Linked DNA regions of Arabidopsis thaliana. The protein of the gene in region 2 interacts with the protein of the main gene of each other region in a pairwise test. Each region holds a gene or a part of one and is shown on either strand. Other genes may lie near its edges.

Evidence for each region.
Region 1: the proteins of AT5G05790 (region 2) and DRNL interact in a two-hybrid assay, tested with the Arabidopsis thaliana proteins (one large-scale study listed by BioGRID).
Region 3: the proteins of AT5G05790 (region 2) and AT3G16280 interact in a two-hybrid assay, tested with the Arabidopsis thaliana proteins (one large-scale study listed by BioGRID).
Region 4: the proteins of AT5G05790 (region 2) and AT4G23860 interact in a two-hybrid assay, tested with the Arabidopsis thaliana proteins (one large-scale study listed by BioGRID).

The regions. Positions count from the first base shown.
Region 1 is NC_003070.9:8,712,082-8,719,270, forward strand, and holds DRNL (DORNROSCHEN-like protein), read right to left. Parts: upstream 3,298-7,189; 5' UTR 3,229-3,297; coding exon 2,308-3,228; 3' UTR 2,284-2,307; downstream 1-2,283. Other genes in the region: AT1G24577 (uncharacterized protein), read right to left, coding at 677-904. UniProt on the Arabidopsis thaliana protein: Required for correct embryo patterning and cotyledon organogenesis. May positively regulate the gibberellin signaling pathway leading to germination, hypocotyl elongation, and leaf expansion.
Region 2 is NC_003076.8:1,738,503-1,746,649, forward strand, and holds AT5G05790 (Duplicated homeodomain-like superfamily protein), read right to left. Parts: upstream 3,685-8,147; 5' UTR 3,170-3,684; coding exon 2,754-3,169; intron 2,640-2,753; coding exon 2,222-2,639; 3' UTR 2,021-2,221; downstream 1-2,020. Other genes in the region: AT5G05800 (Myb/SANT-like DNA-binding domain protein), read right to left, coding at 4,732-5,286, 5,375-5,863, 5,944-6,249.
Region 3 is NC_003074.8:5,514,421-5,521,770, reverse strand, and holds AT3G16280 (Integrase-type DNA-binding superfamily protein), read right to left. Parts: upstream 3,561-7,350; 5' UTR 3,471-3,560; coding exon 2,706-3,470; 3' UTR 2,500-2,705; downstream 1-2,499. Other genes in the region: EMB2083 (AAA-type ATPase family protein), read left to right, coding at 20-142, 220-276, 369-584; AT3G16270 (ENTH/VHS family protein), read right to left, coding at 5,231-5,272, 5,495-6,424, 6,515-6,670, 6,843-7,350.
Region 4 is NC_003075.7:12,404,992-12,414,188, reverse strand, and holds AT4G23860 (PHD finger protein-like protein), read right to left. Parts: upstream 5,183-9,197; 5' UTR 5,024-5,182; intron 4,895-5,023; exon of another isoform or gene 4,892-4,894; 5' UTR 4,854-4,891; coding exon 4,770-4,853; intron 4,656-4,769; exon of another isoform or gene 4,406-4,655; coding exon 4,247-4,405; intron 4,148-4,246; coding exon 3,875-4,147; intron 3,788-3,874; coding exon 3,035-3,787; intron 2,943-3,034; coding exon 2,853-2,942; 3' UTR 2,511-2,852; downstream 1-2,510. Other genes in the region: LACS4 (AMP-dependent synthetase and ligase family protein), read left to right, coding at 5,926-6,080, 6,511-6,574, 6,663-6,752, 6,870-6,926, 7,003-7,051, 7,177-7,253, 7,379-7,418, 7,502-7,596 and 6 more.

The DNA.
Region 1 (7,189 bases), on a different chromosome or scaffold from region 2:
CCTGGCCCGGACCGGCCCATATCATAGGTGAGAGATAAGCCCATGTATGAGAGTCTAAATTTAAAAGTACCCAACTTCAAATACTTTTCATGATACCACTCAATTATCAGACTACTTTCCATCCACAAAATGTTTTTCCGCCACTTTTTTTATAAGAATCAGAGTGTTTCTATTAAGAGATTGATTTTATGAAGTTTTGACATTATTTTTTCTATTGTTTCTGTAATATTATTTTGTGATTTGTTTATTTTAAAGATTAAAATTTACATTTCGCTTAAAATTTTGGAAACGTTGGACCAGTAGCAACCTCACACATTCATAGATCCGATCAGATTTGCTTTGTAATGCCCTTTGAAACACCTTAAAGGCCAACATCTTGAGGCGCAAGTATAATATCAAGAAAAAGAAAAACATTTTTTGACATAGCTTAACATTTGAAAGATTGTGTCAAAATTGATAAGTTGGAAAGTTATATTTTATTAATCAATTTATTAGAGATTAGAAGAAAGTAAATGTTAATATTTTACGCATACTCTAGATGAAAGAAACCTTCCACATATAAAACCAATAACTACAAGACGTAGAGACAGAAAGTAGAATAGAACTACTACCTTGTTTGGTCACTAGCATAATGCTCTAAAGAATAAACAAAAACAAACCCTAAGCTTCCTAGTGTCTACTTAGAATGATCTGGCTTTGTCATGAGACTTTGAAGAATGTTAGTCTCAACGCTTTTGTTACGCTGCAGCGAAGGAGTCCGGTGAAGCTTGCACTTGAATGACCCCGGGTGAGTGGTCGGTGAGCAAATGCAAATGGTCTTAGTGATGCTGGTCTGACGGGACAGACCCCCAAGGCCCATCGCCGCTATGGAAGCTTCAGTCTCCATGTTTCCTTTGTCGTTCATAATGTGAATATTAAAGAAGAAGGGGAATCAATGATGAACGAAGAGGGTATACCTCATTGTGTGTATATAATCATTTTATTATTTGAAGAAGCTTTAAGACTGAACAAATCTTTTTCTTTTTGTATGGTCATCACGGGAATGATGATGGAGTCCATCAAGGACCAACTGTATCCTTGAACTTTTCATGATGTTTCATCTACTTCTATCCCCAAAACCAAAAGGCCAAAAGCCACATAAGTCACTTTCTAATGGTTAATGATTCATGATCATGACTTCCATCATTCATCAATTATACACTTTTATAAATGTTGTAAATGTGTATACATTTATATAGTATTATACACTTTTATAAATGTTGTTGTTTATATATATGTATACATATATACTTTTATAAATGTTGTAAATGTAAATGTATATATATATATATATATATATATAAATGTGTATAATACTATATAAATGCAGTGCAATGCAAAAAAAACTTTTGTTATATACAAAGCGCATTGAATATAGAGGAAAACAATATGAGCTAGGAGCACTGAACTTCTATTTCATATTTAAATGAATATAATCTTTTCAATTAATATTTGGTAGAATAGTTCTATATATAGAATTGTAGTAACAACGAGATTTCAAATTCAAATAAGTGTTATGATTTTATTTTGAATGAATATCGATAATTGAATAATTTTATGATATATTTTTATATAATGTTTTGTTTTAAAATAAAAATTAATATAGACTGATGTGATCATATAAAACTAAAGACAGTCCCAACATCGTTCATATCACATCCACTAGAAATTCCAATATTTAGAAGATCTCTTGGATACTTGAAGAGTACCCCTAAAGATCATAATTGGGATATGGTTTTTTTGAATAAGGGTTATAAACATTGATGCAAATTCGAGTCCTTAAGTATATGTTTACTGAGTTTTGATGGTGCAAATACTTTAATGGACAAAGGATTTTGTGAACCTAAATATAATTATGCCCTTACGGTGATCTGAGAGGGAAAAGGGAAAGAAGAAAAAGCAAGAGGACAAAGGCTGTCTTTATGATTCTGAAGTCAACTTATAGAAAAGAAAAAAAAATCTTAATTTGTTCAAGATATATATTTTTGTCCTTTAGGTATTGTCTTCATCCAGCACCTCGAGTATTTTTACTTTATTTTTGTTATTACCTTTGCTCATAACCGACATATGTCATACACAATTAATTAACTTCGCTCATACTCAGATAAAAATTGTTCTTTGCTAAAACATAGAGATAAATTGATCATAGCACTAGACGAAAAATTAAAAGACAAAAGATTTGAGTTAGTTACCCTTAACCTCATTTCTTACAACCCTAAAGAAACTGTGAAGTGATAAGCACGTAAAAAGTAGAACAACAACAATATTCTAATAATCATCATGAAAGCAATACTGATAAAACATTCCACCATTTCCGTTCTGCTGCATCTTAGCTGAATCAAACCCATTCTCATGATCAGCCCAACCTAACTCTCCATGATATTTAACCTGACCGAATCCGTTTCCTTCGACATGGAAGTCAGCTAAACGAACATCTGTCTGAAAACCGCTCTCTGGCATCGTCGGGAAAACACCAACCGACTGTTGGTTGCTCTTTGGAGGTATAGAAGCATGTTGAGAGATAGGTTTTGGTAAGAAGCCTTGAACAATTTCTTGAAGAAGACCAGAACTAGCTGGTTCTGGTTCAAAGATATTTGATATCAGGCTCTCGTTCTCAATGGTACTTGACCTCTTAGCTTTAGGCGAGAGATCTTCACAGACATCGTTGACGTTAGTGAAGGACTCGTGAACAACGTCGTTTACGTTAGAAAGATTACAAGGCGGGTAAGCGAAAGTGGTTAACGGAGAAAGAGACTGAGAGTTTAACACGTCTCGTAGAAGGAACATATTCATTGGAGGAGACGAGAAAATACGGTGGTGATAAGAGTCGAGAGAAGGCATTGGGTAGACGAAGTTGGTTCGAGCTTTAAGACCACGCATGGCTCGAGCGGCGCAGTCATATGCGCAAGCTGCTTCCTCGGCCGTGTCAAATGTTCCGAGCCATCGTCTCTCCTTGGACAATGGGTCCCGTATTTCAGCTGCGTAACGACCCCATGGCCTACGCCTCACGCCTCGGTACCTTATCGTAGAGACACCGGAAGCGCCGGCGCCGGAGGCAGCTTTTGCGGTAGTTACTCCTCCGGGAGAGCCAGGAGCTGTCGAGGAAGTTCTTGATGGCTTTCTTTTCAAAGAATGGATGTTGGTTTCTCTGTGCTCGGCACCTTCGAGTCTCATGATTGCTTCTTCCATGGTTGACCTAAGGGAAATTTTTAAAGCTAAGAATTTTTCTTTTTGTTCTGTGATTGTCTTAGGGTTGTGAGGCACCTGAATGTGATGATAGCTGATTACGTATTTATAGAAAATAAAATATACATTTTTATTGTTTTTAATTTAAGATGGACCTGACCCAATATATAATTTAAAAAAATGGACTTGCATTGCATCTTTTATTGACTTGTGAGTTGTGAATCTATGAGAGATGCAGAAAGCAAAAGTACGTTTAACGAAGTTCTTGTTCCACGTTCGAACTTACATGTCTTTTCTTTTTCCTTTTCTACGGACTTGCATAAAAGCAGTTATAAGTTACATATTTCATGTCTTTTTGACAAGTAACAAATTCATAATTATGATGTACTATTTTTATCTTAACCCTTGCACCATTCTTTCTTATTGTCAGAGTATAAAGGTCCTTTGATACTGTTGATTAAAGGTCGATTTATTCTTTTGTTTTAAGTGAAAGACATGAATATATTTCAGAAAACTTTCTTGAACAATTTACAAATTAAAATTATAAAATCATTGATTTCATTTATTTTTGAACAAATTCAAAGGTCATCGTTTTCAGCTATTTCCGTTGGTCATATTATTCTTTAATCTTTACGCACTTTTCTTTAATTGTGTTTTGGGAAATAATCAATGGTCATTAATTTATAATAATAATGAATTACAGTAATAATAATAAGCAATAGAGTTAAAAGTGATTTATACAGTAGTTTGTGGAAGGGAAAATTATGATGTTGGAGTTGAAGCTTAAAAGGAGAGGGTTGAAAATCGTGAAATTATGATTCTGAATTAATAACACTGGCGGCGCGCAGAAATTGTTCCTTCTACATGAGGTTGTGTTTTGTCTGTTCTTTTTACGAGATTATGGTCGATTTGCTTATTTAGGGTTTTGCTTTTTAATCTGTAAACCAAAGTCACGTGGATTTGTCTCAACTAGGGCTCTTTCTTCATGGTGTAGCCTCTTTAGGGCTTTCCTACTGTAGCTCGATTGTGACTAATGACCCTTTGCGTTTACGGAAATCAATCTCCACCACTAATTTCGTATATATATGTTTGATAATTAATGTAATTTCGCATTTACATAAAAAATAATCTAAATCTCTCTCACATTCTTGATCAATTAATGTCTGTAAAGCTCCATTCATATTCGAGCCCTAAATATAAGGGTTGAATGCAAAAAAAAAAAATCCGTCAAAAAAAGTTTTATCACGCCTAGGAGAAAAAATTATCAATCGTCTAAATATAAGGGTTGCATGCAATTATCACGTATGTTATTATGTTTATCACGTAATTATTGACATATATCGCGTAGGAGAAAAAAAATATATCAACGCAGAAGTCTTTTAGGAGTGTCTAAATATTTTGCCGTTGTTATATATATAACGATTTACAATCATATCTAATTGCATGTAATTTTTTTTTCATTTAGGTTGTGCCGCGAAAAAATATGCAGATTGAAAAGAAAAAAATAACAAACAAAAAAATGGAATAAATATGTGAGGCAAACAAAAACAAAACTATGTTTCCTCAACAAAACGTTGGCAAATCATGTCTACAAACAGTAGATGTTGAAGGAAGAGAAGTCGTGAGCTCCTTGTGGAATTAGTGGATTATGAAGCTGAACACCACAGAGCTCAGTTTGTAAGGAATCGAAATCACTTTTAAAAAATGTGGAAATTTGTGGAAAACTTGAACCTATATAACGGTGGTATCAACTTGTACGTACACGGTACAACATATCAACAGAAGATTAATTCATGAAGTAGTTTGAATAATCGGCTCTAGCTAGATCTTTAATTCATAGAAATCAGACTAATATTCTAAACCTAAACGATATGGACGTCAATTTGTCAGATGGAGAAAACGGGAAAACTGTTAAGAAAAGAAAATCCTATATTTCTATTTTGATGCATGCTTCCGTCTTTCGAAACTACAAAGAATTAATTTGTAACTTTATGAGTTATGACAACAAAAAAAAGAAGTATTATCATAGCTTTGAAATATATAGGGTGGAGTAGTGAAAAAAAAAATATAGGGTGGTGAACACTATTGATTACATGATATAGATTATTGAGAAATTCCCAATATATCCACATAAAAGAATTAAATGAATGAGAGAATGTGAAAATGTGCTATTTGAACCCAAAATCTTAATTTATTTAATTCAAAAAATAAATGTGCTATGTGATAGGGGTTATAATACCTCAAAAATATATTTACTATTATGCTCAAGAGGCATTCTAGTTAAAGATTTTTTTTTATGTAACTTATTTAAGTACTATATATTTTAATATTTTGGGTTACAAAAAAAATATATCTTACAAAGGAAGTAAATTAAATGTGAGCTTGACCGAAACATAACGGTCCATGGCTCCCATAATAGTTTCTTTACATTTAGATGAAATGAAATTATAACTTTGGTCTTGAGTTGAAATGTCTGGTAATAAAAGAAGAAAATGGAAGGCAAAAATGAAGGGGCAAAGCTACGAAAGTAGGTTACATGCAATGGTACGACATTAAAGTTGATACCAGAATTGTCGCCTCTCTTCTAAACGCGTGGGTTTTTTCTCTGCACAATGCGTCTCTCTCTCTCTCTCTCTATCAATGGCAATATAAACAATATATTATGTTTGACTTTTTTCCCACACGAACGGGCCATCATGTTATATAATGTGATATCGATCGCTAATAGTTGTGGAATATGTTTGTAGCTACGCAAATTAAGGTCATATATGCTATAGCTTACATCCCAAATAAAACACACACGTTACACGTATAAGAAAATCATGCATGGAGCATGGTGATATAAACTAAATTCTTCCATGCATTGTGATATGTAATGCATGGAGCATGGTGTAAACTACATTCGTTTTAATTTCATCAAGATTTGCAATTTTCAATTAATTTTAGACAACAACTTTACATCAATAAAAAATAAAAAAATTTGGTCAGTGTTCGTTTTATTAAAATAAAATTTCTAACTGTACCACCGTACCTAATCGCATTTTCAATTTTTTTTTGCCATATGTTTTCTTTCAATTTTCATTTACAAAACTTGGAAACCAATGTCTCGTTATAGATTTTGATTTTGGAATATTTGAGAGGCACAAGATGACTTGAGCAAAGATCCCGGATCGTGTAGGTAGTCATGTGTTAGTGGATCTTAGTGAACGACCTCGATTCAAAGCTGCTCGAAATAAATTCTTTGTGTTTGTGTCTTGATCAATATTGATTACACTGGATTAGATTTTTGTGTTAACGCATTGCAATTATATGAATACCCTAGAAATAGGGGTTGTTTTAGTTTGCTAGAAAGATATATGGATATTAAAAGCACAGATTTTGGTCCCCTCTTAATCGTACACCGTATCTAAATTATAACCTAAACCTATACCAATTTTACCAATTCACGCACGTATTATACCATCCATTACTTGCTTTCACGTGATCTTTCAACGCACGTATGTATTCTTTTGGTGGAGATCAAAACTCATTAAGTTACTAATTCATTGGCCAAAAAGGTTTCAAAAGGGCTCCATATATAGTTTCCTATTCTCCACCATTGGTTAATTACCATTATTTGATTTATTTTGGAGATAACCGTTGCCGGTTGTACTACAAATAACTATGCAAGCCATTTAAAAAATAACTGTTGAACTGAGAGTTACCTCACACCTCTTCTGAACAACTTGTCCCCTATGTTTATAAAGCTACCTTATTAATAGCTTTATATCTAGATGATATACACACATTTGGAATTTCTTTTTTGTCGTCATTCGAAAATCTCCTGTAGTAAGGGCAAATAAATTTGTAAGAATTCTAGAGCAAGACAAGTGAAAACGTTGCTTTTTAGTTTTTTTAATAATTCAATGAATTATAATGTAATGCATTCAATTTTGTATCATATACGATACATAAAGATATTGAA
Region 2 (8,147 bases):
CCCCCCCCCCCCTTCTGTTATACTCTCACATCGTGACCGAGTATACAGCCCCGGTTGAATGTTGTTCGTTTTCCAAAGTCAACATGTTCTTCATGTTTGTCCTTAGTATGAAATTTCTGATTAGAGCCATTGACCACAACAAGGGTGTTACTTATGAATTTGTTTACTAGCAGAACTGAATAATTTGCATATTACCTAGATGTAAAAAGGAAGACTATACATTTTGATGAGCTTTTCTTTAAATTGAAAAGAAACAACAAGAAGAAAAAGTAAAGTGAAAAAGGATTATGGAGGAAAATAAAGTTAATAAATGGCGTAATGTTCGTGAAAAGGATATTTGATGCCAAAAGACAGAAACGAAAACAAGAACGTGCTTTGATACGCATTATGCTTCTTCTTTTTCTAAGTCTACTTCTTTTGAACACCTTCTTTTTCTATTGTGTATTATGTTAATCCTTGTTAAGGATACTCATTTTGCAAATCAATATATTACTGTCCTGTTTTACTTAGATATCTATAAGAAAAAAGTTTCAAAAATCGAAACCGTTATAATTTTGTGTAAACAAAATAAAAATCAAAATAACGTAGCTCACTACGAAAAGTAACAATGTAGTTGTATACTATACAGACGTGACGTAAGCATTCAAGAAGACGACTTTCATATTAGTATGTTAGTTAGTGGTTAGGTCGCATATCCCATTGAGGTGACCAAATCCATAGTGACGAAGTAACCAAAGTGATTAATTTATATAAAGAACGTTCTGAGTGTTACTAAATAGACATATATAGAAAGGTGTCAATACAAAAATTCTCAGTTTTATGATCCAAACATATTATAAGTTATACGGCTATTATTGATTGACCTTTCATTGGGTTCCATTCAAACGCCTCATCAAAAGTGGAGCCACGAAAAAAAAATAACAAATTGAATTGTGTGATGCCACTTTCGTTAAAAATATATATGGTTCATCATCTTCATCGATGAATGTCATAGGTGGTGTTAGAATTATATCGACTCCAACCGACCTACATTATTAAGTAGTATCTTAGGGTTTTATTCCCGCATGCAAAAAATAAATAAGGTTCGGATGCTCTTAAAGTGACTATATATAGTATATACTATTCACTATTACTGATCAAATCAAATTAATATATGGAGATAGAGTAATCATATTACGTAGTTAGTAGTTACTTACTGTTCGTGATTAAAAAGTGAGCTTTTCTTTTATATTCTCAAATTTTTTAATTAGAAAACTAAAAGCTTTCAAATTTATAACAAAGCGATTCAATATAACTTCTCTTTATTTGCACAAAAATAAGTATCTTTAACGATTCGTTCATCCAATGAAATTTCCTAAATCACTTTTGTTTATGTTTTTTAATAAATTCCAACTTGACTTCTTTCACAAAAAGAAGGGAAAAAACAAAGCATTATATATTCCTTCTGATATGAAAGAAAACATATATCACATTTTCTAGCTCTTTATTAAATTAACTAAAAGAAATACGGAAAAAAAAAAACATTCTTAAAATAATTTTAAAACAGGAGCTTGTATATATGTTCCACTTGTACTAAACTGCTATTTTTGTTTGTAAAGAGTAATAATATATCCAAGGACACCCTTAATTTATTTATAAACTTAACAAAATTGAGGGAGCAAAGGGTTGGTGTAATAGGTGAAAAGAATGTGATTCTGTGTGCCGAAAGTGGAATGCAGACTCAGCTTCTAATTATATACCGTTTACAAGTTAGTGGTCAGCTTTGCCACCCATACACACACATACAAATATATCCAACCCTCACTTTTTAATTCCTTTTTCTTACATAAAATTCTATACATTCTTTTTGCTAAAGACAATTTCTTACCTTAGAAAACAGTATTTGTGTATAGTTCTGTGATGAATCATTTTAAGAAAATATAAAACGTAAATGAGTAATGTTATACTAATTTATCTACTATCATCGATCAAATGTTCAGGTTTAGAGACAATTTTCCAAGAAAATGACTGACCGTTAAAGTTGCAAGTAAAGCCATAAACCCGGTACTTGGTCCTTTTCACCATTATTGATAGTTTTGGCAAAGAGACATATATACTAGCTAATATATGTTTATTCCATAAATACAAGACATACATATTCACATTCCTCTAATAATGTAACATAACTTTTTAAATAAAACATAATTATGGTTTCGTTGCAATAGTTAAAATTTCAAAATTCTCATTTTCTCGTTTCAAGATCTTGTGAGATACAGTAACCTCCTTCACCGTAAACATTTGCTCCGGAAAACTTAATGGCAGGATCGTAGGAAGAGAAGACCGAGGATAGATTCTGACCAAGAAACATAACTCCCTCCTCTGCATTATCCCTGTCGGTGAACCCTAGTTTCGGCTCGGCCTGTTTTGAGACTAAGCAACCGTGATCAGACGATGGACGGCTAAGATTGGCATTGAGAAGATTGACGGTGGTGATGTCGTGAATGCTAGGCCGTCGTTTGTCTTTCGCACCGGAAAGCTGTCTTTGGTAGTACTTTTGGGCATGACTTGCAACCTGAGTTGGTGTTTTTGATCCCACAAAGTTCCTCGATATGTTTCTCCAATCTCCTTTCCCATACTTGAGAAGCCCTAACAAGAATCTCCTGCAGAAAACAATTAAACAAGGTCTCAGCAAACCAAGAAAACAAAGTAACTTGCAACTCAAGACACCAAAGAAGAGTGAAACAAGGATCACAAAGATTGAAAACTTTGTTCACCTGTGTTCTTCCTCCGTCCATGGAACTCCTTTCCTACGGTCTTGATCAAATCCTCTGGCTCCATTAGGAAGTTTACGATACGCATCAAAGTCACGTGGACTCACAACCTGATCAAATCCACAAGGAGTAACTGAACGGTAACCCGGGATCGGGACAAGTCCTGCTTCGATATCGAAGAGGTCTTCTTCAAGCTTAGAGTATTGCCTCATGACATCTGATATGGTCTTTCCAGGGATCATAGCAGCAACTTTGAACCAGCGATCAGGCGTGTCATCAGCGTAGACAGCAAGAGCTCGCTCAAACTTCTTGTTCTCTTCTTTAGTCCAGCTCGAGCTTTGCAAGCACATCATCTCTTGAACTACAAACCGGTGGTCAGAAGTTGGCACGTGCGAGAGTAGTGGATGCAGAGTCTCCATCGTTTAAAGGCTACGAGATAAAAGTTCTACCTATAAAATAAAGTACTTAATATTTTTCCTCTAATTCTTGGAAGCTTGATTTGTGGGTTTAGTAAAAGACTGAAGCTTCTTATAGGATCTAAAGATATATAGGAATCAAACTGGGAAAACTAACGAATAGTTTAATGATGGAATCAAAGAACCTGATTTAGTGAGAGATTATAGCGTATATTAATTGAAGAATCTGGAAAGAAACACAAAAGACTAAGACTTTGAAGAATCCTTGAGAATCTGCAAAAGTGGGTCGTCAAAGTAATACAAAACAGGCAAAACTCAGATGGTAGAGAGAGATAATCAGTAAGATAGATAGGGAGAGATTGTGAAGCAAAGGGAGAGAAGAAGAAGGTATTTGTGGTTTGTGTTATAAAGAGAAAGAGAGAGTGTAAAAGTTTTAGCCAATGGAACCACTCCACTCCCCTACTTGGCTTCATTTTATTCCAAAGAGGATTCTTCACAATGACACGAATTCTAAAAATAACAATAAACTTCAATTATAAAATTCTAACTAGCTACTAGCTAGGCCAACATTTCATATCTTTCCAAAATTTTAATAACCACTAGTATACACCGTTTTTTTTTGTTAGGTAGTTTTTCTCTAATATTATTCAAAATAAAAGCGACAACACATAAAGTTGTTCATACTTAATGATAGTTTACGTGTTATACGTCGGCTATGTCTAAGGCTTAACTAATCATAAAACACACATAAAATAAGGAGAAAAACTTCAAATTTACTAAAAAAAACCAAAAACAATGCGATTGCTTTACTTAACAAAAACAATGCGATTGCTACAAATTGTTTATAGATGTAACTTAATTAATGTTATTCGAGATAACACGTAAGCTTAAACTTAACGACACTTTATTCTTTATGTCTTTTTTTGTATTTCGTACCACTTGAAAATGATACTTCTACGAAATTTCATAAGCCGCCACAAAAACAAGATTGAAAAAGAAAGAATAAATATAATAAATGCAGAAGCGCCTGTAGCTCAGTGGATAGAGCGTCTGTTTCCTAAGCAGAAGGTCGTAGGTTCGACCCCTACCTGGCGCGTTAATTTTAGTTTCTTACTTTTTAGAAAATTACTCCTTAACCTTAAAGGGGTAATTAATTATTGGGATGCGACTAAACCTTTTTTTGCCCACTTTGGGTACTGTTTTTTGTCGTCACTCGCTTTATCTACTTTTTAATTCAAAAAAGATTCTAATCATCAACTCTCACTCAAAAGCCCCTTTCACACACTCCATTGTTGTCGGTGTCCCAAACCTTGTTCTGCTCTCTCGTAATATGCATAGAACTAAATGCTAAATATCTTCTCCTAATGAATGAAAGTGAGAACAATTCTAACACAAACCACTTAAGAATTAGGCAATTCAAAGGTTCATCAACATGATTCTCTACCTGTCTGTTTTTATATAATCCATATTCATAGAACTAACAAAGAACGATTCTTTTGGGTATAACATCAGACAGAGACAGAGGTCAGAGTACAAAAAGGATGGCTTGTAAAATACACTTGAACCTATGTTGTAGTAGGAATAGGAAATGAAGTAGATTGAAGTCTCTGCAACCATGCGATTCTCAAACTGGGCTTCTTCAGCTCTAAGAAGATCTCTCTATACTCTCTCTTCAGAAACAGGTCCAACGCAAACATGTAGAGCTCACTACCTTGTTCGACCTCTTCAATTGCGTTGAGGCTTTTAATGCATTCTCCAATGCTGTACATCGGCTTTGCCGATTCAATCTCAACGAATACCGGACTTTCCTGCAACATAACGTCATTCATTAACTTCATATCATCCAATGGTTGAGCGTTTTCACTGTCTATCCGATCTTCTTGAGACTCTGCATAACAACCATTTTGCCTGGAGGTTTCTGCTTCATCTACGTGCATCTTTGATAATGGAGTTGTGTCACGCCATTGTGGTGATTCAGAACGATTGTGGAGGAGCTTCTTGCGCGAACGCGAAGGAGGAGTGTATGTCTCTCCAGGTTCTATCACTCCGTTGAAAATGATTGCAAGTTGATCAGCATGAGGAACTTCCTTGTGGCGGAATTGTCCTGCTCTTGGGTTTTCCTGTAATAAACCAAAGACAAACACTATCTGTTCAAAATGTAGTCCAATGGGAGAAGGATAATAGTTAAGACAACTAACATTATCATACCCGAATATAGATTCGCCATTCCTCTTCTGTTGCACCAAAGCTACGAGATTCAGGATCCCATTTCATGCTACTTGCTCCAACGAGTTGACACCAGATCTTCCAAGCTTTCCTAGTGCAATCCCAGTGGTTTTTCAGCTGCGGTCTCGTATAACCAAGGCCGGTATTTTCATTAATAGTCCCCAGAATCGTCTTCCACCCTTCCTTGTTAAAATGAGTGTCGGGTCTATTTCCCTTTAAAGTCTCTTGAACCAACAGATCAAGAAACAGCTTATGTGTAGACGGAGACCAATACCCTTTTGTTTGAGGGTTAGATGAACTACACATGCTTTGGTTATCTTCATCTTCTTCCTCGTAACAACTTCTTCGCCTCTTCCTTACACCCGAGACTTCATCATTTTTCACCTCTACATTACAACCCGCAAAGAGAATCTCTAGCTTCTTGAGATCATGCGGAACACTCAACCGATACTGCCCAGCATCAGGATTCTCCTACGGCACAAAGCAATCACATTTTAGCATTTTATAAAATCAACAAAAATGAATGTAACAAGTGGTTTTGATTTGTAAACCTGTAAATAGTTAGCCCAGTCATCATCAGTTGCACGAAACCTGTTGCTCTCAGGGTTCCAATTCATAAAACTAGTTTCAACGAGTCTACGCCATATTTTCCACTGTCTGCTCATTGTATCCCAATGGTTCTTAAGCTGCATTCTATCGTACATGGCGCCTGTTTGCTCCTGAAACGATATCAATATGTTCCTCCAACCTTCTTTCGAAAAATGTGTCCCTGGTTTATTCCCTAGCATCGTTTGCTCCACACATAAATCAACAAACACTCTGTGATACTCAGGCTCCCACACTGCTTTTGGCCTCATTTCTTTTTTAACTTCTGTTCTCCAAAACTCCTAACAATTAAAAACGATACCTTTATCATTGTGAACTCGTTTTTAACAAAAGCACAGAGAGACAGAGACATTTGCATAAACATTAACCCAACAATTCTAGATATTGAACACAAATCATATAAACAAGGCATTGAACCAGAGAACGCAGACGCAATTACTTGAAACGTGTTTCAGGGAAAAATATGATTTTGCGACCTGAGACTTCGCCTACTTCAAAATCCCAGTAGTAACCGAACACGAAAATGGGGAAAATTGCACGAAACCCTAACTCGATTAATCGGGAGACTGAAAAACTACGATAGTGGTTAGGATTTCGCCGGCGGGAATTGGGAAGCTGAAGAAGGGAAAACGTTACCGGGAATCTGATGGAAACGCGACAGCGATTGAGTGGCCACTCTGTGACGGGTGTGGCTGGAAGAAGCCGATCGCGATTTTTCCTCTCTTTCTCTGCTTTTTGCGTTTGCGCCGCGCTGTACGGATTTTCCAAGGCTTTTCTAAGAGTTATGGGCTGGGCCGAGTTCTTTGGTCATGGGTCATAGCCCAATAAATTACACCGGTTCTTGCCTGACTATTTGTTTCCGTTTGAAGAGATACTCTGATTGGTTAAGAGGACACAGACTGTGAGACTGGTTTGCGTTGGGTCCGGTCTTGATTTTGTTCAAATTTCTGCTCGACTTAGATGTTTTTTTTGCTTTCTTATCGAAACATTTTTATAGCTGATTATGTGAAGGAGTTAGGAGAATTGAATATGGGTTTATCGAAAAGGTGATTATTGTTCCAATCAAATATATTTAGGTGACTATCGGCATCATTGATAAGTATAGATATAGTTTGTGGGGGAGGGTGACCACGATTACCAAAATTAATAGGGGACTCCAGCAATAAGATTTGCTTTAAATGGTGCCGACCAAATAATAAATAACATTTGCTTTAAATGGGCCGTAACGTATAAATCCAGATACAAAAATAATGGAAATTAGTCCAAAATTTAAGAAATAATGGTACAGAAATAGCTAGCTAGCTCCAGCTCCCCCAAATCGTCACTAGGGAACAAACTGCTTTCTACTCGTTTTTTTTTATGATTTCTTTTGCTTATTCTGTTATGGACTTTGTATTTTCTTGTTTTCTATTCGTGGTTTTCTTGTGGACTGATTAGCGTTAACACGTTATAAATCTTGTATACTTTACTTTTTGTGTTATACAGAAAATCTTCGAGAGAGAAAGATAACGAGGCATAACACATGATTTTTACCAAAAAAATATATTAGGAAGACATATATATGGCTTGAAAATGTGACTGAAAAGTTGAGATTCTAACAAACATTTTGTCTCAACGGTTAAAATGTGATTGCACTCTCTAAACCGTTAGTGTGACATCGTGAGAAAGCAGCAGACACATGACTATGATGTTAACATTTATTATCTTAAAATGCATGTAGTCTTTACTCTTTAGCATGGGAGAAAAAACCTCAATCCAAAGTAGAGTTTGGTTATGATTTCGGTGGTTTGGCATGTAGTCTTTAGTTTTGATAGAGAAAAGGGCTAAGAGACATGCATTGATGATTTGATTCTAGTTTATGCTGTTATCGACTCTGTGCTAGCCATTATATTTGTTTAGAGTCAGAATTTATGATCAGTACGAAAATTCCAAAAACAATTTCTATAGATATCATCATTGATATGTGTCCCTATATATTAATTTCCATTAATGAATTCAATTTAAAATGAAATAAAAAATGTTGGTTACTATAGTAGTTCCTAAAATCAAATTTGTAAGGCATGAAAGATGAAAGAAGGGAGTCATGTTTTTAATGCATCCTCTTTGTCCTCATTCACTTTGTTTTCTTTCCCTTTTATAAAAACCTCTC
Region 3 (7,350 bases), on a different chromosome or scaffold from region 2:
TGCTAATGATTTGTTACAGTTAAGCACGATATGGGCTGAAACATCGGATAACGCAAGATCAGCTGCTCGATCATTGGTTCTTGGTGGTCTTTCTGATAAGCATCATGGCTTGAATAACTTCTGGGTAGCTGATCGAATTAACGTAAGGCCATATCTTGACATTGTTTTCACTTCAGTTTTCAGAGAACAGATATCATCTTCTGATACATGGATTTGCAGGATATTGATGTGGAGGCATTGCGGATATTGAACATGTGTTACGAGCGTGCTAAAGAGGTAAAGTAGACTTCTAAATCAACTACATCTATATCATAGCATCTCCTTTATATTGGTCTTGTTAAATATATATTTACAAACGCATACACCAGATTCTTGGAAGAAACAGGACGCTCATGGACGAGGTGGTAGAGAAACTGGTTCAAAAGAAAAGTCTAACGAAACAAGAATTCTTCACTCTTGTTGAGCTCTATGGGTCCAGTAAACCAATGCCACCGAGTATCCTTGAACTTAGGAAGATCAAACGGCTTGAGCTAGAAGAGATGGTGCTGAAACTGGACATGACTACCGCAAGAAACAGTTCATAAGATGATTGTAATTTGGAGAAAAGAGACAGTTCGTGACAATCGTAGGGAATAAACATCAAAAACCCATTATAGAGACAATGAGGTTGATCCTTTATCTATATTTCCTCTGTAATCTTTGTAATAGTACATGTTAGATAATTCTTTGAGCTTCAATATAGTATAACACTTCTTTTTATCCATATTGAAGCAATAGTCAATTTTAAATTGTTTCACATATCTTGAAAAAAGGATTATGAATTTTTATGTCATGAACTTATGTGGAGCATGTGGATTATTTTAATTTGCTATATATAAAAATTGGAAGACATTGAACAATGGGCACATGCTAATCCATGATTTTTCTTTTTGTTAGGTATTTAGGTGAAATTGCAAATTGATGAGAATCAAATCAAGAGTGCTTAGGTTGGTCGATATACATACAACTATTTGATTATTATTACAGAGCAGATAACATTTGACTTGCAAGATTTGACAACTAAATGATATTTACGTGTTACCAATTTTTATTTTATTTTTAGTTAACCCGTTTACCAAATCATTTACTTAACCTCCTTATTGGTAATTGGCCACCTTAATGGCTTAATCTCTATTATTGAACCCACCCGACTCATCATCATGTACTGTTTACTAAAAAATCGAAATACCCAACCGATTTTCTAATTTTATTATTTAAAACTCTTACGTACATAATTGTTCTATACAATTCACTTCACTGTTATTAATGATAAAAGTCGTTTATTTGAATTTTATCAAAGCACTACAGAAATTAATATGTTAAAAATAGTTTTCTCATATTTTATAATCTGGATATAGGTTCAATACGATTTCTTTGGGTTCTTGTCTCATATAAAGTGTCCAAAATTATTAATCTTCTTAAACAACGGTAAAAAAAATAAAAATTGAATTCGTCAAAAGAATTTGACAACAAGAAAAGAGGTCCACAACGGCAGTATTTGACTTGCTCGTTCCCACACCACCATCTCTACTCATATTCAGTTAAATACTATATTTAAGCTAAAATTAAACACACTCAAATATTAAAGAAATAAACAAAACCCGTGTTTAAGAAGACTAAAAATCACGTAACAGTTTCAAAATAAAGAGCTATGTGACTATGGAATCTGAACTGTAACTCCACCTTTTATTAAAAATTCAAATGCATTTTTCTTCTTTGAATATTGATCTTTTCGGTTTGTTGGCAAAAGTTTAACTAGTTTGATAAAAACAAACGAATTAGTGGAATTTAATATGAATTATAATAAGGATGAACCCGTGACCAAAACACAAAACAAAAGTACGTGACCGTTAATGTTCTGTACTTATGTTGGTCGAAATAAAGGAATTTCATTTTATCCACAGTGATTTTATGTTGGTTATACTGTAAACGTTTTTCACAGCAGAAGCAATGTTATTTTTTTGCAAACATAAACTATATTCTATTAGTAATGTTGGTGCACAAAAAAAAAAGAAGAAGATATAATTAGTCAAAATATTAAATAAGTAAAAAAGATTGGACGGTGTACCTCATTTGAATTATTTTTAGAGTGTTCTATAATGCATTCTCATATTTGATCATTACAAATTTTGTTCCAACCTAAACTCCTACAGTTACCTAACTATAATATAAATTTCTTGCTTCTGGAATTATCTAATCGACATACCTAGATTAATAATCTTCAATCTTGTAAATTGGAATGTAGTTATAGAATAATGTCAACTTGTCATAGATTCCAACTATTTTCTTCACAATAATTGTAACAATTTAAAATCAATTATAGTCAGCATTGGAGAAGAGGGTTATTGACTGGTGAGAAGAAACAAAGAATGACCATTGACTCTTTTAGGAATTTATACGTTTAAGAAGAGTTAAATAACATTTTTGTTTGTTGTGATTCACAAGTACAAGAACATTGCGTAACGATAGTTTCCAATTTCCAAACTTACAATAATTGTATGTTATATATATTACACATTTACATAAATATTAATAAGTATATTTTACAATATTTGGTACACTAGCCCTAGTATAGTAGCATATGCTACGTATCCGTACAAAAAGAAAAGAAATACAAATGTTATCTATGATGCAATATTGCAATATAATGCACTTTCCTAACTTAATTAGTGATTAAAGCTCCACAATTCCACGAAATTAAACTCCGATATTTCTTCATAAAAATCCATAACCGGAGGATACACCCAACAATCGAACGGCTCAGAATAAGCCAGATCAGCACGTGATGTCACACTCTCGTCATAACTTCCTTCTTCAATGTTAGGCAGCTCCACAATTTTCTCCAACCTCTCCTCATCCTCTGACTCCGCCGCCACGTAAGAAGATTCCGACGAAGGTGGGGCCTCCGGAGCCTCATCCTTCTCTAACAGTTTTTCTTCGACCACCATGGCGGCGGCTTCTGCGGCGGCTGTCTGGATATCATGCGGCGATGATGACGCCGGACGAGGGAAGAGAGAAGCAAGCTCAGGGAAATTTAAGACGGCGGAGGAGCCTTTGATGGTGAGAGCAGCGACGTCGTGAGCACGAGCAGCCATATCAGCGGTGACAAAAGTGCCGAGCCAAATACGAGTTTTCTTACGAGGTTGTCGGATCTCGGAGACCCATTTGCCCCAACTTCTCATCCGCACACCTCTGTAAACAGGATGTTGCATTGAAGAAGATGAAGAAGCAGAAGAAGAATCTCTCCTTCTCTTTCTTGTGTTGTTGTTTCTGGGTGGAGCTTCTTCTTCAGACAAGTGGGTGCTTGTTGTAGTAGTTGCATCAGATTGGTCTGATGACGATGATGTTGGTGATGCAGAGCTGTTGAGTGACGTCATCTTTTGTACTCTCGTTTGATACTTACTTCTTCTTTTTGTGTGGATGTGAGACATGTATTTATAGACTGACTGCTAAAGTGCTAATGAGAGAGCTTTGATTCTGAGGTTTTTTTTTTTAATAAACTTTCTTTTAGTATAAAAACATAACACGTTTTTTTTCTGGTTTTTGGATGTGAGAATCAATAGTAATTATTACAACCGTCAATCGTACCAAATTAGACTCTTAAAACTGTATAGTATTTTTTTTATTTTTTTCCATATACATATGAGTAAATTGTGATTTTGATTTTACAACTGCATACTATTATTATTGTGTTCTTGTTTTTAGATTATTTTGATTGTTCTTTGTTTTGGGTGGAATTAGACTATTTCTTTCTTTTAATTTTTGTCAACAAGCATACTATTTCTTATTTCAAAGGCTAATTAATTTGGTGGAAATGTGTCAAACTATCAAAGAAAATAAATACTTAATTTGACTAATGAAATTAGACGCTCCATTTTAAGTGACATTTAGCCTACCCATCTTTCAATTATCATGAAGATTTTATAAAAATCCAAAAAAAAAAAAAATATATCTACACCTATTATATGTAATATACATTTGACCATATTGATAATTTTTTAAACGAAATAAAACTGAGGATGGATTTGCCAACAAAGAAGCATAAAAGATGCAGAGAATGTAAAAAGAAAAGATTTACAGAAGAGATCGTTTATTAACTTTCTAAAAAATAATCTCAATGTCTCCTTCGTTTCCTATTTGAGAGAGACTTGGAGAGTCTAAAGTTACTTCCATATGTCACTATCAATCTGCCCGTTGAGGTATTTTTATTCATTCTTTATTTTTATATTTACACAGTATGGGAACCTCAAAATCTTATTAATTGGATTTATGTAATGAGGATGTCACTCGTCATTTTCCCGTTACCACTTTTTAAAAAGATAAGAAAAGTAACTTCCACCATTTTTTTCAATCTTTACCGTTGGTAGAAAGTACACAAAAGATGCATTCTTATTAAACTTCAGGTAAGAAAATAAAGGGGCATCATTTCCTTTTTCTCTCATTAATCAAACTCTGAATAGTTTCACCTAAATAGATTGAGAAATTATTAGCTTTCTTTCTTTCTTATCGTATGAAAATATCTACACCAATGCAAACACTTGACCAATGGATGTATCCTAAAATAAGTAACGCCAATTTAAAATGAGCAAACCAGTATAACAGGCAATGCTGAGAATATGGACCAAGTTTAACGTGTGAGAAAAAAAAAGCTCATTGCAGCCACTTAGATTAGATCTACCTTATTTTATTAACTACTCCAAATTGTAACAGACATCACGATTAAACAAAATTATCCCTGGCTTTCGTTTTTCTCCATCAACAAAATTTTCTAATTAAGAAACGCAAAAACAACTGGACTTGACTTGAAGTCTTTAAACTATTCATATGCATTTCCTTTCTCAGTTTCATTTCCTTTCTTGTCTACGTTCGATACACAGACACAAGTCTCTTCAGATATAATATATAGCAACGGAACAAAATAAACACATCTAGTAACAAACAAAAAGCAACTCTACAACTACATGTTCATGCCAAGAACAATGGACTCCAAAGAAGAAGAAAAACCAAAGACAAAACGAGGAAACAGATAAAAGAAGCAAAAACCCTTACCATATGAATTATAAAGCTATCTCCATTTTCTCCTCAAGTCTATACAGCTCTCATAAATTAATGTTTTAGCTTCCTGCACCCTTGTGTCCACATCTCATGAAATAGCATTTAACACTGGAAGGCGGAATTTTGTAAGCAACCATCAAGATACTCTCTTTGTGTCGCGGGCTGATGTAAGATGATCCTGCATCACACAAACATTTATGTAGTTGCTCCATGAGTGTATGTACATCAAACGAAGGTTTTTTAACTATGCCACAAAAGTAGATCTAGTCTGACTATGTTTAGGTGGTTTTAATCGAGCTAGACATTATGTGTGTGAGATTTGATGTCACATGTACAAAGACAAATGGCAGATTGACCAAACTTTAGAATCAAAGATCAGGAGCAAGATGGCAAAACTTACAGAAATGAAATCGAAGGCTCTGGTATCTTCTTTTTTCGAACCATTCATTGTTGAGGTTGGAGCCTGATTACCAAAATTTGGCTGGAATATATCAGGGAGTGCGGACTGATTCCCTCCACTTGTACCCATAGAAAGAACATTTCCGCTACCCTGAGCGTTCAGATTGCCGAACTGCTGGAAGTTGGACATATTACCAAGGTACTGCTGCTGCTGAGCTAACAAGCTTGCCATGGCAGCGTAATTCAAAGGTTGGGATGCAAAAGCTGGATTCATCATCATCCCTTGAGGAAAATTGAATGGCATAACACCTCCAGGAAGCATTGTGTTTTGAATAAACCCAGGATTTTGTGAGCCAAGAATGCCTCCAACAGGATTTTCCGGTGCTTGGTGGCTGGTGGTGCTCGGCATTGCAAATAAATCCTGTGGAAGAGTGCTTGAAGACGAGCCTTTCTGATTTGAATTGTTTTCGTCAATGGAGAAACTTCCCATCAAATCATTAATGTTTTTTGCATCTTTTGGCTCTGCTTCAAGTTTTGCAGTTGACCCAAACATATCAAATAGATCAGGCACATGATTACCACCAACAGCAGCGGACTTTTCCCCGACAGTCATTCCAGAGAAGAGGTCATCTGCACTTTCTTTTTCTTCATTCGGATGAAATGAGACATCTGCAAAGGGGTCGTCATCAGTTTTCTTCTCGCTGCTACTCAGTCCAATGTCAGAGCTATCCCCAAACCAATCATCATCCATCAATGGACCTGCTGTCGCCACTGTACTGCCAGTATCTATAGCATTCAGATTGTTCAAAGTATCGTCTGAATCACCGGTGTCAATCAAGTCAGGTAAATCAACAGCAGCCTCTCGCTTCACAGTATTATCAGAGCTGCTCATCAACCCACTTGACTGTCCACCATTTAGAAGGCTCAGAACCTACACAACATCGGTATCTCGAGTTAACCAACAAATTAGCATAATGCCAAAAAAGAGTTTTGTGAATGGTTATAACAAGCAGAAGCTTACCTTGTTCGCCTTTTCTCGAAGGGAAGATTGTGGAGACTCTGCGCACCGCTGTATGGCATCCAAGTTTTCACTAAAATAGGTATGTACAATTGAAAAATTCTCATCTTCCTTCTTCCTCAAAATGGCCTCAAGGACACATAAAGCTTTCATCCGAACCTGCCAAACAGAAAAACACAGTTACTTTCAAAGTACAAAAGTGGGAAGATTAACGCTACAGAAGAAACAAGCCAGGGAAAAGAAAATACAGATGATATAATCAAGAAAAAAGTACATTAGTAGCATCAAACAGTTTCACAAGGAGGTGACTAGGAAATAATCATAAACATACCTGCCACATTGGAGAATGGAGCTTCCCGTCAAGAGCAATGCTTAAAGCAACAGCGTCCATTTTTGCAGCCTCTAAAATGAAAACATGAAGAGCATCACGAGTTGGCTGCAGGCGTACACCACCAGATGTAACAATGGTTTCCAGCAGCTTTTCCTCACGAGTTTTGCTCTCAACACGAACTGAAGCAGAACTTTCACTTGCTTCTCCGGAAGCGTGGCCCCAAGATCCACCAGTCGTGTTCTTAGACGTTCCGTAGTTACCATCCTTCCCCAGCTTAACTGGATCATATCTACTGAAGTTCTCATTTTCCATAGTTAATGATCTGTGGAGATTTGGACCTCTGTAGCTGCTGCTGCCATTCTCATTCTTCTTTGGCAAATGGCCTTGAGCAAAATTACTGATTCCTTGCTTTATAGATGCACTTCCAATACCCACCACCTCACTAAGGAACGATTTATTATCATTAGAGGGCACCTGAAAGTTAGTATTCCCGAATCCTTCAATGCGT
Region 4 (9,197 bases), on a different chromosome or scaffold from region 2:
AGCATTTCTGTTTAATGATAGATGTATGACTCATAGTAAGGATGCTGATCTGTTGGATTTATATTTAAAAATGTACGTACTATATCATAGTTATTTGTATTGAATATAAATTTGACCAACCTAAATGTTTGTTATTCAGTTATGAAGATGCTTATTTCAATTTAGTTTAACAGACCATCAATATGAACTGAAAATTTTCATCTAGATTACTTGATTTTCAATTTTTTAGTGTAGATGATGAACTGAACCATATAAGAATGAAATGAAATTAAACTCTACGCAATTTCAAGAAAAGAAAGAGTACATATTACTAAGTACTAACTCCACTGCAATATTTGTTAAGAAACTGAAATTTTAACCGAAAAATCTAAAAACATCCACTGCAATATGCTAATTAATTATATAGTCATAGATGTCATAAACTAATGGTGATAGCGAGAGAACACAGTATTATTAACAACATTAACGGCGATAGCCCAACTAATTAAGCTGACATAGATGCAAATTTGCAATGAAGTTGCAAGATTATATTAGTGGGGACTATGAAATTATTTAAGTCTATTTCAATTGTTTGTGCAAGGTGTTGTAGGAAATTTTACGTTGTATATATTTTTCTTTTTGACGTGTATAACATTGAAATAGTTTGGATGGAACAGTTTAAATGCGAAAGGGCTTTCCATTTCTATTCGAACAAATTGGTTATCAATTAATCGAAGTTCATACTAGCCAAAACTTTAGAAGTTCAATCAAAATCCAATGTGAATTGTTCCTGCATGCATGCATGTGTTTTTGGTCAAACAATGATTTGATTTCTATTAGCTTTAATTCAAAAACAAACAACGTTCTGGAGCTACAAGAGCTCTCTTCCACCAAAACATTAGCTAAACGAGGAACGTAAACGGAAGACATAGAGATATTTGTAAAACGCCATGTAGATATCATTGTGTGACTCCTCCAAGTTGATAAGATTAACCAATTTGAGTGGGGTCAGACTTGAAAAACTCTGATATGTACGCATCTAAATTTCAATTTCAATCAACATAACCAAAACGTACTGTATATTGAATAAGCATTTAGCTAATTCCATACTCATTGTACTTTTAATCCTCCTAGTGGCTATTTTATTTCGTTTTTTTCAATACTATAAATTATTAGAATAGAAGACATAAGAACACAAGTTCATGTTCTCTCCCGTTAGTTAGTGTCTTTAAACCAAACCAAAACCGTGTTAAAACCTGGCAACTCACATTTATACCAACCACCCAACCTGTCTTCTTTATTTTTTTTATAATCGTCGTTAGAATCAATAATCACAAATAGTATACTTTAATATAAAACCCATCTACTCATTAAATAAGTGTTACATGTTAATAGCTTGTGGTCGTAGATACATTCATATTCGTTTCCCTCAAGAATGCATATCATTTAATAGAATCCAATCATTCATATTATGATCTGTTTCAAACAATGTCAAACCCATTTCTTTTGAAATATTCTCTCCTGATTTCACGGACCAAAAACCATATTAGTACAAGGTCGATTTAAAATATATAACATTTCAAAACCACTAAACTAAAGCCATCTGAAGAAATTTAAAACACTCGTAGATCGGTGCTCAAATACAGTTAAAACCGTTGTGTCATATGGTTATATCGTTTGCATAAGCGTGATCGCGATGTGTTACCACAATTATTGCATTAGTTCTTATAATAATAACATAAGAACACAAAAATAATTCATGATATTTTACATGTAGACGTAAATGTCATTAAGAAGCGCGATCATATCAGATGATCCTATCATTAAGCACTACGCGTAATACAATAATTGGATCGTTATCAAATTCTTCTTATCGAAACGAAACTTCGTGGAAATTTACAAAAGGACAACACAAGTACGTGGTGGTGTCACGGGGGCTGTCGTTACTCTAAGGGCCCAACACTCACGAGCTTCCAACTTCGATCTATATTTTCTTAAAAACAACAATAACTCATGTCGACAACAAAAAAACACTAATAAGTAATAACTGACCTAGAATTAATATTCGGTTAAGTGATTTCTGGCAAACTTTTTTTTTTTTTTTGGTCAGGCCTACAATACTATTTAATTAATTTTTGTCATAACAAAAAACATGATGACCTCACATGTAAACTGAATTTGGTTTTCCGAAGCCCAAAACCTAATTCTTAGTACTTTAGAAGGCCCAATTTATAATAGTTTTTTACTTTGCGTGTGTAGTTTGTAGTAGCTCTTCTTTTAGCATGCTCCATAGAGCTTCTTAAAGGAGCTTCCGGAGTTACAAAGCGGTATATTAACAATCTCCTACATCCAACAAAAGAGCACATGAGATTGCGAAATGTGTAATTGATGATCTTCGACTTCCTTAGTATGTCGCAAGACATTACCGATGTGTAATTGTTGCTCTGTTCCTTACCTTTTTGGCTCTCTCTCTGTTAATGAGTTGTTTTGACAATGGGGCATCGTTGGTTATAATAAAAGACGATAAAAAGCTCTCCTTTTAGCATGCTCAAAGTATTTCCGAGTCCAAGACACATTATGAAGATAAGAGTATTTACTAAATTCATATAAAAATAGTTGGAAAGATAAAAGTAAATAGTAGTTCTAGAACTAGTAGCTTATTATATATAGTAGTCGACTGTTTCATAAGCTACAAACTTCATGCACTAAAGTAAAAAGTTGGTTGCATTACTTAGGAAACTAAAGACAGACAAGAGCAGAGGAAGAGGAAAGAAACCTCCTCATTCTTCATTTCAAACCAACGAAACAACATATATCTAAAAAAAGTTAACATGAAATGTCGAAAGAAAGACTTACTACCTTTATAACTCCTCTCACTCCATCCTTTTACGTTTGTTTTTCAGTTTTGAAAACATTTGCTCGATATCTGCAGAAGTTATCGCCTTTGATGGCCCAGCAGACTCCTACAAAACCAACAACGAATCAAGTCTTTTTAAATGAAGTGGTTCCTGAGAATTGTAATCAAATTTCTTTCATAGATGGTGACAATATATACCATTAAACCCTGGAGTCCGTCTTGGAAGTCTTTGATTCCGTGAAGGAGCTCAACTTTGGATACGTGGTCTAGATTATTCAGAAGATCAAGTGCTTCACCTTCTTGTTTCTCCAGTTTCTCTGTTCTTTTTTCCTTCGCCTTCTTCTCGTATTCAACAATTGTGTCCTCTGCATCAAGTAGATAGCTTACCTTTCTCTGCTTATACATCTCAAGGCACTTTTCGCATCTGCATAGGATGTTCCTCCAGTTTTTGGTCAAAAACAAAGGTTTCTTCTCAAACTCAGGACACGAGTTTAGATCAGTCCTAATAACACAACCAGCTGCAGGAACATTTTCAGAGCCATCGATCTTCTCAGAACATTTCCGCACAACGAATTTCTCGGCTTCAGTACTGTTCTCAGGCTGGCCGGCTTCAGATTCATCGATCTTCTCAGAACATTTTTGCACAACAGATTTCTCGGCTTCAGTGCCGTTCTCAGGCTGGCCAGGTTCTGAGTCACTGATCGTCTCAGAACATTTTCCTACAACAGATTTCTCAGCATCAGTACCGTTCTCTGGCTGGCCGGGTTCAGAATCCATGTGGTTTTTGTCTAACTCAATTGTCTCTGAACAAGCATTAGCAGAACCAGTGGAATCTACTTTAGCAACAACCCACAAGTTCTCAGGATAAAGTGTCAGAAACGAACATGCTGGGGAGCAGTTTTGACAAATGAAATCTTCATAGATCGGCTCACTTTCCTCATCCCTTGGAATCTGTTAACATCACATAACAAATTGCACTAAGCGCCAACAACAAAAAAAATCAATCGTAAACAACAAGATTAAGCACTGGCCACAAACCTGGCTACCAACACTGTCTGAAGGTGTGAGACCGAGATGCTCCTCATGAAACCAATCCTCACAGAGACAACACTGAATCATCTCTACTTGTTCTTCCACATTTGGGTCAGGGTAAGGTCGGTCGCAAGTGCAGTACAAGCCTTTGAAATTATGGTTGTAAGAATTTTCAGAGTTTTCTATATCTTTGCTCGGGAGAAGCTTACAAGCCAAAGTTCCAAACTTTGAGTTCCCGCAATCACATCGAAAATTTCTCTTAGTCCACAGCTCCAAAAGCTTCATAACCAGAACAATGTTCAACCATTAGGAAACCAATTAACACTATGAAATCAGATTTCAAAATACATAACCTGGCTATATATCAACCATATTTACCTCATGGCCATCATGACAAGATAAGCAACAAGCAGTGCAAATTCCAGCATTCCCCTCTGGTGTACATGTAATGCATGAGAAAATTGCTTGCCTTTTCATGTAACCCTTTGGGAAAGTACACTCATCTCCTTCATCTCCACCCAACACCAAATCCGCTGCCTTAACATCAAGAATCACAAAAGCAGTTAATGAATATTAAACCCCTAAACCCAAATAACATAGGATTACAGAAACAGATACACACTACTGAAATTAATAGAAACTAATTAAGAGACACACACTATCATTACTAGCTAGCCAAAACCTCAGAGACTGTACAATAACAATCCAACACACTCCACTAGCTTCAGAAAAGGTAGTCAATTTAAGGTCAGAATCCAATTTCAAGACGTTTGTTTACACTTAAATCTAAACGATTTATCACCAACCAAGGAGTGAAAATGTGGAAGAGTATTAAACTTTCGTAAGGATCAGAAACATACATAAGCTTTAAAACTGATCAAGAGGAGAAAGAGAACATTACCAGCTCTTCTGCGTCAAGCCTTTCGATATATTCATTGATCGTTATAGTTCCTTCAGCTTCATCCTCGAAAACACCAGATGCCATTGTCGCAATTATTCTTCACAAATTCCCACCTGAATTCACTACTAAAAACATGAAATTGGGTAAAATAAAAGCTATTCGAAAGACTCAAACGAGATATTCCCTAAATTCCTTAAAAAAAATGAAACCCTAGATTATTCGCAAAACATCAAACATGTCAATCGGACCATTACCAGGTTATTGATGGAGTTCTCAGACTTGTAAAAGCCCTAAAGCTTTTCACTTTTCAAGACATAGATAAACGAAGGCAGAGAGAGAGAGAAATTGGGGAAAACGAAGGTGGAGCTTAAGGGTTTGGAAGAAAGAAGGATCTAGCGGATGTTAAAATTCTTAAATGCGAGAAAATTTATGTATGTTATATAAAGGAAGGGACTTTATCGACATTTTCCCGCCATTAACCCTCCAATTCTATTACCCTTTTCCCTCCACTATCAGCAACTAAGCATAAGCACAAGATAAGTATTGTTACTTGATAATGTACATGTTAATATTAATTTGTATCGAGATTAAACGGATATCAAAATCTCAAATTCTTGCTTATATGGTTTTTTATGAATTGAAAATTTATATTTATTTTTTTGTTTTGATAACTAATGTTTAACAAATATCATATCTGTGTGCAACTAGTCAAATCTATCCACAAACACACATACTAATAGAGTAATAAGCATATTTTTAATTATCGTAGATTAATTGATAACCTCTAAAAAAAAAATTAAATTGGGGGATAAAATATTGATAAAATCTAAAGTTATTTAAATCAAAATCACACACTTTTTGTTTTGTTTCTTGACATCTTAATTATAAAATCTAAATATTGGCTAATATAAATTTCAATTTGGATAATATGACTTTATTGGGCCTAATATGATGATACGTATACGGCCCAATAAGAGGTTGAATATGACTTTGACTTTTTCAGGTTTATGGTCAGTGAGTAGCAACCAATCGCAGTCGTAGTTGAAAGTCTCTATTAACTTCTTCTCCGATCTGAGAAAACGCGTCAGAAGTTTCTCGTTCTACAGATAGAGAGAGAAGAGAACGAGAACGAAGTAGAGAGAGAGAGAGAGAGATCATGTCGCAGCAGAAGAAATACATCTTCCAAGTTGAAGAAGGCAAAGAAGGTAGCGATGGAAGACCATCAGTTGGTCCAGTGTACCGGAGTATCTTTGCCAAGGACGGATTTCCCGACCCGATCGAAGGAATGGATAGTTGTTGGGATGTTTTCCGGTGAGATTTCTCGTTTAACCGATCGGAGTTTGTGTTGCATGAGCCTCGTTTCCGATTCTTGCTGAGATTTTGATCCTTGATCTGTTGACTGATCATGGAATTTGTTCTGACTTGCGTTTTTTGCTCTTTATGGATTCTCAAGTAGTAAGAATCGTATAGTTTAATTTCGTCTAGTGTTTATCTGGATTTGATTCATGTTTGTTTAAGTTTTTCGGATCGCAAGATCTACCTAAGTTGCTCTAATCGATAGAAATATAATTTGTTGGTTAATGATTTTGCCATTTGTCTATAATAACATCGTTTTGAGTGGCATGTGATTAATTAACAGTTGCATGAATTTGGTTGACATTTTTTGTTTTGCTTTGTGTGTGGTTTGGTGATATTTTGTGGTTGTTGACTTACATTTTTCTACTGTTATTGTTTATTGCAGCATGTCTGTTGAGAAGTATCCAAACAATCCAATGCTGGGACGCCGCGAGATTGTAGATGGAAAGGTGTTGTTACTGTTTGTTATTGATTTTGATTTTGTGATTTTCGTTTCATGTTATTATAAAATTCACTTGTTATTTTGATTGTTCTTAGCCGGGTAAGTATGTCTGGCAAACATACCAAGAAGTCTACGACATTGTCATGAAACTTGGAAATTCTCTCAGAAGTGTTGGAGTTAAGGACGTAAGATCCATCTTTTTCCTTTCAGATATCTATATTCAGTCTCATTATTTCCTTTTTTTGTCGCAATGTGATTATTCCCTTGCTTAATCTTGTGTTTCCTGATATGTGGGATATTAGGAAGCAAAATGTGGTATCTATGGTGCAAATTCTCCTGAGTGGATTATCAGCATGGAGGTAATTTTGCGGCTGAATCATGATTATGTCATTGATTGTGTTTTGTTAGAGGACTGACAGTGCACTTTTGATGTAGGCTTGTAATGCACATGGACTCTATTGTGTACCGTTATATGATACACTAGGTATGCCTTTTTTAGTATTTCCCAATATACTCTAGAAGGATAAATTCGCCAATAGATTTCCAGTGAGCTTCTACAAATCTTTTAGCTAGCTTATTTGTCATTTTTGTTGCGTGTCAATTTTATAGGTGCTGATGCTGTGGAATTCATCATTTCCCATTCAGAGGTTTCAATTGTCTTTGTGGAAGAGAAGAAGATCTCTGAGGTACAGTAAGAATATATATTTTGTGTGAAATATATATTTATCACTTTCATGCATTGATTACCGTTGCTAAATTTTACATTTTTGTAACCTCTTCTTACCACTTGCTTTTGAATTTTGATTATCAGTTGTTCAAGACATGCCCAAACTCGACAGAGTACATGAAAAGTGAGTGATTTTTTCTTGTGTTAGGCCTGTTAGGCCGTTAACATAGTGTGCTTATGATCAATTGTACGTGATTATAATTACAGCTGTTGTGAGCTTCGGGGGTGTCTCACGTGAACAAAAAGAAGAAGCTGAAACTTTTGGGTTGGTTATATATGCTTGGGATGAATTTTTGAAGCTGGTATGAGACTTGACATTTGCTCGTCCTGAAATATACTGATTCTGTGATATTTCTTTCCAGTGGTCTTATAACTATGCTTATCATGTTTATACTTTCCATTGCGAATATTTCTCCCAGGGTGAAGGAAAGCAATATGATCTCCCAATCAAAAAGAAAAGCGACATTTGCACGATTATGTATACGAGTGGAACCACTGGTGACCCAAAGGGAGTGATGATATCTAACGAAAGCATTGTGACTCTAATCGCTGGAGTGATCCGTCTACTGAAAAGTGCTAACGAGGCTGTGAGTTTCCTTCTTGCTTTCATGCATTTTTTAGGATTCACAAAGAAGCTGCAATCTTTAAGATTCCCATGTTCCTGACTCTGGTCTTAATCGTTTTTTTTGCTGTGCAAATCAATAGCTGACTGTGAAAGATGTGTATCTTTCTTATCTTCCTCTTGCCCACATCTTTGACCGAGTTATCGAGGAGTGTTTCATTCAACATGGTGCTGCAATTGGCTTCTGGCGAGGGGTCAGTAGAGTTTGAACCTTTTTATTTAAACCAGTTTTGAATTCCTCACTTATAATTCTCTCCGGGTTGTCTCCTCAGGATGTAAAATTGTTGATCGAAGACCTTGCTGAGCTTAAACCAACTATTTTTTGTGCTGTACCTCGTGTCCTGGATAGAGTATACTCAGGTAAGATGTTTGAAATATCATATGCCCAAGTAGAGCAAGTACTTTTCAATTCGCCCTCTATATTGAATTATGTTCTCGTATCATCTGTTTTTTCCAAATAACTGAATCTGAGGTTTTACATTTGTACCACGTTACACACCTTCATGAAACTATTACTAGCTGATGATGGGATATACCAAATGTGAAAAATATTCTCAATTCTACTAGAATATTCTTATGATAAGCTTTCATTCTTTCTTCTTTGGTGATTGTTACATTTTCCCATTATTTATATTCCTAATTATCAATTCGATTTCGTATCATTGATATACATGGTTTATTCACTTGGACAAGTTACCCGTGTCTCATTAGGTTGACCTATTATATTAAACAGGTCTTCAGAAGAAGCTTTCTGATGGTGGATTCTTAAAAAAGTTCATATTTGATTCTGCATTTTCCTAGTAAGTCAAACTTCTCTTTGCTTATCTATGTCACTAACCTTTAAGCTATATGATCTAACACACTCAAAACGTTCTCAGTAAATTTGGTTATATGAAGAAGGGACAGTCTCATGTGGAGGCCTCTCCACTTTTTGACAAACTTGTGTTCAGCAAGGTGGCAAAGTTCTTCAATAAAATTCTATACTACACAACATCAGAAGAGCCTATCACTCTTCGTTTTGAAATTTTATAGCAATTATTTCTTTTGCTTTACCACTTAGGTTAAACAAGGACTCGGAGGCAATGTGAGGATTATTCTATCTGGAGCTGCTCCTCTTGCTAGTCACGTAGAGTCATTTCTAAGAGTGGTGGCATGCTGTCATGTTCTCCAAGGATACGGTACCCATTCAATATATTGAGTTCTTCAGATCCAAATGAAACTACATAAATGAGCCAGTTTCGATAAAGTCACTATCTCTCATAAATCACCTAGAATGTGTGA